Linked DNA regions of Caenorhabditis elegans. The protein of the gene in region 2 interacts with the protein of the main gene of each other region in a pairwise test. Each region holds a gene or a part of one and is shown on either strand. Other genes may lie near its edges. The genes, in order: rnp-3 and mog-2.

Region 1 (3,923 bases), on a different chromosome or scaffold from region 2:
TTCTGTGAAAAATGATATTTTTTCTAATATTATTCAATAAATCTATTTTCTTGTCCTATATTTGGAGCATTTCAATTGAAGTTTGCTCCATTTTCTGCCCGCGGCCTAGAAACCTCCGTGGCCGAACAACAAGCGCGCTCTACTGCACTCTTTTTATTTTCGTATTTTCAATTTAATTTCAATAATTTTTATCGGTTTTCTTCGATTTTTTCGCACTTCCCCCCAGTATTTTTTCAATTTTTCCGATAAAAATACAAATTTTCCAGCTAACAATGGCAGAAGTTGCGCCGAACAGCACTCTGTACATCAACAATCTCAACGAGAAGATCAAAATCGATGAGCTGCGAAAATCGCTCGTCGCCGTCTTCAAACAATTCGGCGAAATTGTCAGTGTGATGTGTTTCAGGACGCTGAAGATGCGCGGGCAGGCTCATGTGATTTTTAAAGAGGTTTTGCAGAAAATCCGAGACTTTTCCCTAAATATTGAAGAATTTTCAGCTCCCCGCCGCATCTGCCGCCCGAGAAGCGTTGAATGGTTTTCCATTTTACGAAAAGCCAATGGTACTATATTTATCGATTTAATTTCGATTTTCTCATTTTTCTCCGCTAAATCCCGCTGAAATATCGATTTTTCCAGAGAATTCAATTCGCAAGGGAGGATTCTGACGTCGTCGCCCAGGAAAAGGGGACATATATCAAGCGGGAGCCCAAATATCTATCGGAGAAGATTCTGAAGAAGCCAAAGAGCCGAAAGAAGGAAAATGGAGGCGATGGACCAGCGCCGCCCAACAAAATCCTATTTTGCACGAATCTTCCAGATTCGGCGACCGCTGAAATGCTTGAGATTATGTTCAATCAGTGCGTGGCGTTTTTCCAGCTGAAAAATTGAAAAAATTGGCTGAAAATTCGAGATTTTCACGAAATTTGCTCCAAAATGTTGATTTTTCAGTCAGAAATAGATGTTTGGGCAGTTTTTCTCAAGCTTTTTTCCGATAAAACTGGAAATTTCACGTTTTCTGCTGAAAATCATGGAATTTTACCTAAAAATTCATTTTTCGGCTTAAAATTACGAATTTTATTTTAAAAATTAGCGTTTTTTTGCTGAAAATCGATAAATCAAAAAGTACAAAAATCTAAAATTTCGTAAGAAAAATTGCATTTTTTTTTCCCTAAAAATTCAATTTTAACTCCAAAAATTGAATTTTCCCCGTTTTTCACTCAAATAGTCACCTTTTTGGCTGAAAATCACGATTTTTAGCTCTGAAATTTGATTTTTCAGCGGAGATTTGTAATTTTCGTCTTAAAATGTAAATTAACGGCTCTAAAAATAATATTTTCCACTATTTCCACTCAAAACTTCCAAATTTTTTTCCGAAAATTACGATTTTCTTCTCAAAAATTGAATTTTTCAAGTAAATTTGGAAATTGTTGGTTGAAAATCCGATTTTTCCCTAATTTTCACACGAAAAATCTTTTTTTTGGGCTTAAAATGATGAAAATTGTAAATCTTCGACTTAAATATCACCTTTTAACTGCATTTTCACACCTTTTCACTCAAAAATTTCAAAAATTTGATTGAAAACCATGATTTTTAACCTAGAAATCGCATTTTTCTACTGATAATTTAGAAAATTTTGCAGAAATTCTCATTTTTTAACTCAAAAAAACCTCCATTTTCCCCTTAATTTTCATCATAAAACCCCAATTTTTTAAAAACAGTTTTGAGTGGAAAAGTCACCTTTTTGGCGAATTTTTCAAGTAAAATTAGAAACTTTTGGCCGATAATTTCAATTTTTAACTCTAAAATTGGGAAATTTCAAATTTCCGGCTGAAAATCTCGATTTTTAACTCAAAAAAGCCCGTTTTTTCCCCAATTTTCACTCAAAAATTCAAATTTTTCCAGATTCGCGGGTCTCAAAGACATTCGAATGGTTCCAAATCGTCCAGGAATCGCTTTTGTCGAATTTGACACAGATTCTTTGGCAATTCCAGCACGTACAACACTCAATAACTTCAAAATCTCGGCGGAGCACACGATGCGTGTCGATTACGCTAAAAAATAAATGGATCTCTCTGGAATTTGATGAAAATTTTAATTTATATATATTCATATATTCAAATGTTAAATATTAAATTTTTTTCAAAAAATCGATTTTTCTGTTTTTTTTTTTGCGATTTTTCGTGGTTTTTTGCCATTTTTCCATATTTTTCACCATTTTTTCGCCCTTTTTTCGACTTTATCCACTTTTTCAGGTTAAAATGGCCGACATCAACCCGAATCACACGATCTATGTGAACAATCTCAATGAGAAAGTCAAGAAAGATGGTACGGACGATTTTTAGCGTGGAAAAATGGATTTTTGCGAAAAAAAAACTGGACAAAAGAATGGAAAATTCCCATTTTCAGCTAAAATTGCAAAAAAAGTTTTCTCTATTTAAAAACGTTTTTTTTTGTGATTTTAGCTGAAAAATTGCCTTTTTACAGTGATTTTCATAAAATTGAATTTTCTGTAATTTCGCACTATTTTTGATTAAAAAATTGAGTTTTTCATTAACTTTTAAAAAATTCAGCTGAAAAATAAATATTTCCCCTTTTTTGCGAAAAAAATTGAAAAAATACAATTTTTGTTGCTGAAAATCCGGAAAATCCTCGTAAAGCTCAGTTTTTCAATTTTAAGTGCAAAAAATCGCAAAACTAAAAAAAAGTGAAATTTTTCTCATAAAAAATTCAAAATTTCGAACTTTTAACCTAAAAAACTCGAAAATTCACCAAAATTTCGAATTTTTCTCCAAAAACTCAAGAAAAATCGATTTTTTTCAACTAAAAAAATTCAAAACTTGTCCAAAAATTCGAATTTTTCACCTAAAAACCCCCAAAAAATTGCGAAAAACTCAATTTTTCAGAACTCAAACGCTCTCTTCACATGGTTTTCACACAATTCGGTGAAATAATTCAGCTAATGTCATTTCGAAAGGAAAAAATGCGCGGACAAGCACATATCGTCTTCAAAGAGGTCTCATCAGCGTCAAATGCTCTTCGAGCCCTGCAAGGATTCCCATTTTATGGAAAACCAATGAGAATTCAATATGCAAGAGAGGATTCTGATGTGATTTCTCGTGCCAAAGGAACTTTTGTCGAAAAACGACAAAAATCCACGAAAATCGCCAAAAAACCATATGAAAAACCGGCGAAAAATGGAAAATCGGCAGCGGAGCCGACTCAAAAGGAGCCGCAGGAGACTGACGGACCAGGATTGCCGAATAATATTCTTTTCTGCTCGAATATTCCAGAAGGAACCGAGCCAGAACAGATTCAGACCATTTTCAGCCAGTAAGTGGCTTTGGATCACTTTTTCAGCAAAAAAAAATTTCAAAAGTTGAAGGATTTTGAGCATTTTCAGCTAAAAAAGGTGTAAAAATCCGTCAAAATTGAATAAAATTGCTGGAAATTGAGATTTTAAGCTTTTTTTGCGAAAAAACTGTCTAAATTGAATAAGAAAGCAGAAAATTGTGATTTTCAGCTAAAAAATATACTTTTATTGCTGAAATTTCAATTTTCAGCCAAAAATCGAAATTTTGGGCTGGATTTCAATAATTGAGTCGAAAATCCGAATTTCAGCAAAAAATGTTAATTTTTTATTCTAAAAATCGAATTCTCGGCTGAAAATCGCATTTTTCAGCTAAAAAATATACTTTTCTTGCTGAAATTCAGAAATTTCAGCTTAAAAATCGTGGATTTTAGCCAAAAATGGAAATTTCCAGCTACAAATCCAAAATTTCGGCTGAATTTTAATATTTTAGGGAAAAATATGGATGTTTAGTGAAAATCTGAAATTTTCAAACAAAATTGATCAATTTTCTGCCTAAAAATCATCGAATTTTTGGCTATGTATTCGCAGAAAATCAAAAAATTCACAGCTAAA
Region 2 (3,923 bases):
TACATTTTTGTATTTTCCGGCTTTTTTTATCGGTTTTTCATTGTCACATTTTCAGTCATTTTTCAGCAAAAAAAGTTGAAAACTCTAAAATTAGCCAAAAATCGATAGTTTTTGTGAAAAAAAAAGTCTAAAATTATCGATTTTTAGGGTAATTTTAGAGTTTTAACGCATTTTTTTAAGGGTTTTGAAGTTTTTTTTTTGCGGAAAAATGACAAAAAAACACAAAAAATGGATTATTTTAGGCGAGAATTCAAAAAAAAATCCGCGTTTTTTCCAATTTTTAAACCTTTTTTTTCCAAATAGATATTTGAAGGCGCTGGGAAGTTCCCAGTGGGAACCTCTCAAAATTAATAAAATAATAAAAAATAGCCGGAAAACACAAAAATGGCTGAAAAAGGATTTTTTTCTAACTTTTTGTTGCAAAAATTTCAAAAAATCAAATATAAAAAGGCACGGGGAACCTTTGAAAAATCGATAAAAATATCAAAAATAATAGGGGAAATATTGTTTTATGGTATATAAAAATTACAAAAAAAGGGAAGACAGACTGGGAAAAAATTGGAAAAAAATGAGAATATAAATAAAACAAGGAGTATCATTTTAACATTAAAAAAATCAAATAAAATAAATAAATAAATTTTAGCAGCACATTCTGCAATTTTCAAGATTTTTCAAGACTCCATCGCTTCCCCATCGGCACCATTCTGATCCATCTGACGATTCCATCCCTTTTCCGGAACCTTTCCCGATGCCAGAATCGACTGAAGATAGTTGACTTCACTGAGTGACTTGGCATTCTTGATCGCTTCCTTGATCTTCTCCCGATCTTCATCAGTAAGCCGAGCACCTCCACCCGAACTATTCTCATTTGGTTCAATTTCTGATGGATCTTCTGTATGAACACTCTTCTGAATCGCATCTCTCGCCTTCTTTCCACTTTTTCCTTTGAACATCTTCTTCGCAGCTTCACGTTCTGTCAGTCTGACTCGATTGAAGTCAATCACTCGAACCGTCGGCAGCTTGTAGATCATATACATCCGATAATTGTCCTTGTGAGTTATCGGATTTCCGATAAATGTCACGTACTCGAGCTTCTTGCATTCTGCCAGTGGCTCAATGTCTCCGAGCTCGCAAATGTTGTTGTTGGTCAGTGCAAGAGTTTTGAGATTTGGAAGTTTTGTGGCAATGTCGGGTGCGATATAGCTGAAAATATGGGGTAAATTGGTGGGAATGGAGCTCGAAAATGTGGGAAAAAAGCAGTTTTGCAATGAAAAATGGAGGGTTTTTAATTTTTTTTCAGGAAATAGTAACCATAAAATTTAAATTTTTGAAGAATAAATTAGAGAAAGTATTTTAAAAATTTGAAAATGACCAAAATTTTAGGATATTTTCTGAAAAATCGATTTTTTCCCCTACTTTCCGAAAAAAACTTCGATTTTTCGAAAAATGGCTTAAAATTTTTCGAACTTTTTCAGGAAAAAAATTATATTTTTCCTATGTTCTTTCATAAAAAACTGATTTTTTCGTTTTTTTTTTTTGGAAAAAATAGCGAAATCCGGCTAAATCTGAATTTTTCGCCAACTTGCCGAAAAAAAAATTTGGAAATTTCATGAAATTTCAGAGCAAAGAAACGTTTTTTTTTCAATTTTTTAAATTCAATTTAGGGAAGTTTGTCAGAATTTTCCGGTTTAAAATTTTTTAAAACCCTATTTCAAGCTGAAATCACCGAATTCTGCCAGGAAACCCCATTTTTCGGTACTTTTCAGTCGAAAATAACCAAAGTTGGGTACAAATCGACTGGAAAAGCACTAAAACACGGATAAATTGGCAAAATTGGAATTTTTAGCTAAAATTTGGGCTTTTCCAGCAAAATATGGTGCAAAATTCTATATTTTTAGCTAAATTTAGCCACTTTTCGCTCGTTTTTCGGAAAACTACGCACTTGATTCGATTATTATGAAGATACAGCGTATTCAAACGAGAAAACGTCGGAAAATTGTCCAATTTCCTGATATCGTTGTCAGTCAGATCGATGACATCGAATTGATCCCTCGTCACTCCCATATTCTCGATTACGGGGATTTTTTGGCCGCGCAAGTTGATCTCCCGCATATTGACCGAATTGACGAATTGTGGACGCTCGGCGAACAGCTCAGTCGTGAGACGGACCATTTTTCGCTGGAATTAGGGGGTTTTCAATGTAAAAAATAACAAAAAAACATAGAAGATAGACAAAAAGTCGGCTGCAAACCGGTTAAACATCAAGAAAACTTGAAAAAAATATATATGAAAATTACAGAAAAAAAATACATTTTACATAATATATCACACGAAATATTTAACAGTTGGACTATATTTTACATGAGATCAAATTATTCCACAAAATAGTCTATTTAACCATGTTTTTCAGCATTATTCACGAAAAATCAGTGTAAAAATATAGAAAATCCCTCGATTTCTCTGAAATTACCATTTATTCCAGCTGAAACGTCCATTTTTGTTCATTTTCTCAACTGTTTCGGCTGAAATAAATGCTGTTTCTAGATAAATCTAATTTTCAATGAAAATATGCTGGAAAACATAATGAAATAGGTCATTTTGTAGAATTCCCATGGTCAAAAATTATAAAAAAGCCCACAGCGCAACGAAAATGAAGACAATTATAACGAATGGAAGGTATTGAGCGAGCATATCCGTGTTACGAACGAAGCTTCCTTTTGTCAGTGAATACCACGCCAAATTGATCATATTCCAGTCCTCGCGCTCATCGTAGCGCATTTTGTTGAGAGCCAGAGCCACGTGCGAGTGACAATTATCGCAGATGAGATTGTGCTGGAAATAAATGAAATATTGATCGGAAAAATCGATTAAAAACCGTACAGTTCTAGTTTTATACGTGTCGGAAGCATCTTGAACTGCTCTATCGAAGACTTCCGCGCCACCTTCCACCTTTTCCGGGCCTAATTGCCAGTATCTTGTGGGCCAGCCGAATCCCATGTCGTCTTCCTAAAAATATTCTACTTTTTGGAAGTAATAAATTGAATTTGGGCACAAACCGCCACATAATAGCTCCCAGCAAAGTCTCGAATGATTCCACGGCTATTCGCGATTCCCATGTGGCCGATGAATGGGAAAAACCAACTGAAACAGCATTTTTAGCTGGATTATTGGGATAAAATTAGATATTTCCTACGTCAGGCATGGAATCGGAGTCCAAACAATGCAGTATGGATACCGATTGTTTTCTGGGCAGATGTCACGGTCGGTGAGCGGCATCATTGACCTAGAAATGGAGATAGACACTGGTGAATTGGAAAAAAACGAGCAGATCAGGTGATTAAAACGTTTAAAATGTATGAAACAAAATTTCGTGATAATTTTAAGCCGAAAAATCAAAAAATCGCCTCAAAATTGAAGGAAAACAATCGAAAAACGCAAAATTCTGGAAAAAAATAAATCGAAAATTCAAATGTCCGCAAACACCGCGCGGCGAAACTGCACACAATGCGCAGTATTGTACGCGCAAAAAACTTGGAATAATAAGAAAATTTAATATTTATTCGGCAACTAAAAATAGGAAAATTCTAATTTAATTGGAATTTTTATGAACAAAAAAGCCAAAGCGGAAATTAAACCCTACCGTACTACCCATTCCTAAAGGCGCATAAGTCTTTATCAGGCAAAGATCGAAAGAGATGCTATCAAATTGCGGTATGAATGGACAATATGTGCAAAGTACAAGCCAAGACAAACTGAATAACAATGAAACTGAAAAGGAAACACCAAAGTTGAGATAGGTAAATGTTGAAGATCCCGAAGGTTTTTCATCCAGGCGGGAGCAAAAAGTCTCTTTTTCAAGTTCACTTCTGAATATCTGTTTTTTCCATCTTTTTACATTGAAAAATGAATTTGAATCAATAATG

Evidence for each region.
Region 1: the proteins of mog-2 (region 2) and rnp-3 interact in a two-hybrid assay, tested with the Caenorhabditis elegans proteins (one study listed by BioGRID).

Annotation. Positions count from the first base shown.
Region 1 is NC_003282.8:4,171,836-4,175,758, forward strand, and holds the start of rnp-3 (RRM domain-containing protein), read left to right. Parts: upstream 1-2,253; 5' UTR 2,254-2,259; coding exon 2,260-2,326; intron 2,327-2,904; coding exon 2,905-3,331; intron 3,332-3,923. Other genes in the region: rnp-2 (RRM domain-containing protein), read left to right, coding at 273-449, 499-561, 638-858, 1,904-2,063.
Region 2 is NC_003280.10:4,322,616-4,326,538, reverse strand, and holds mog-2 (putative U2 small nuclear ribonucleoprotein A'), read right to left. Parts: upstream 2,179-3,923; 5' UTR 2,173-2,178; coding exon 1,943-2,172; intron 1,204-1,942; coding exon 672-1,203; 3' UTR 497-671; downstream 1-496. Other genes in the region: H20J04.6 (Transmembrane protein 222), read right to left, coding at 2,623-2,832, 2,881-3,006, 3,057-3,141, 3,194-3,279. UniProt on the Caenorhabditis elegans protein: This protein is associated with sn-RNP U2. It helps the A' protein to bind stem loop IV of U2 snRNA. Required maternally for early embryonic development and zygotically for germline and somatic development. Has a role in the switch from mitosis to meiosis.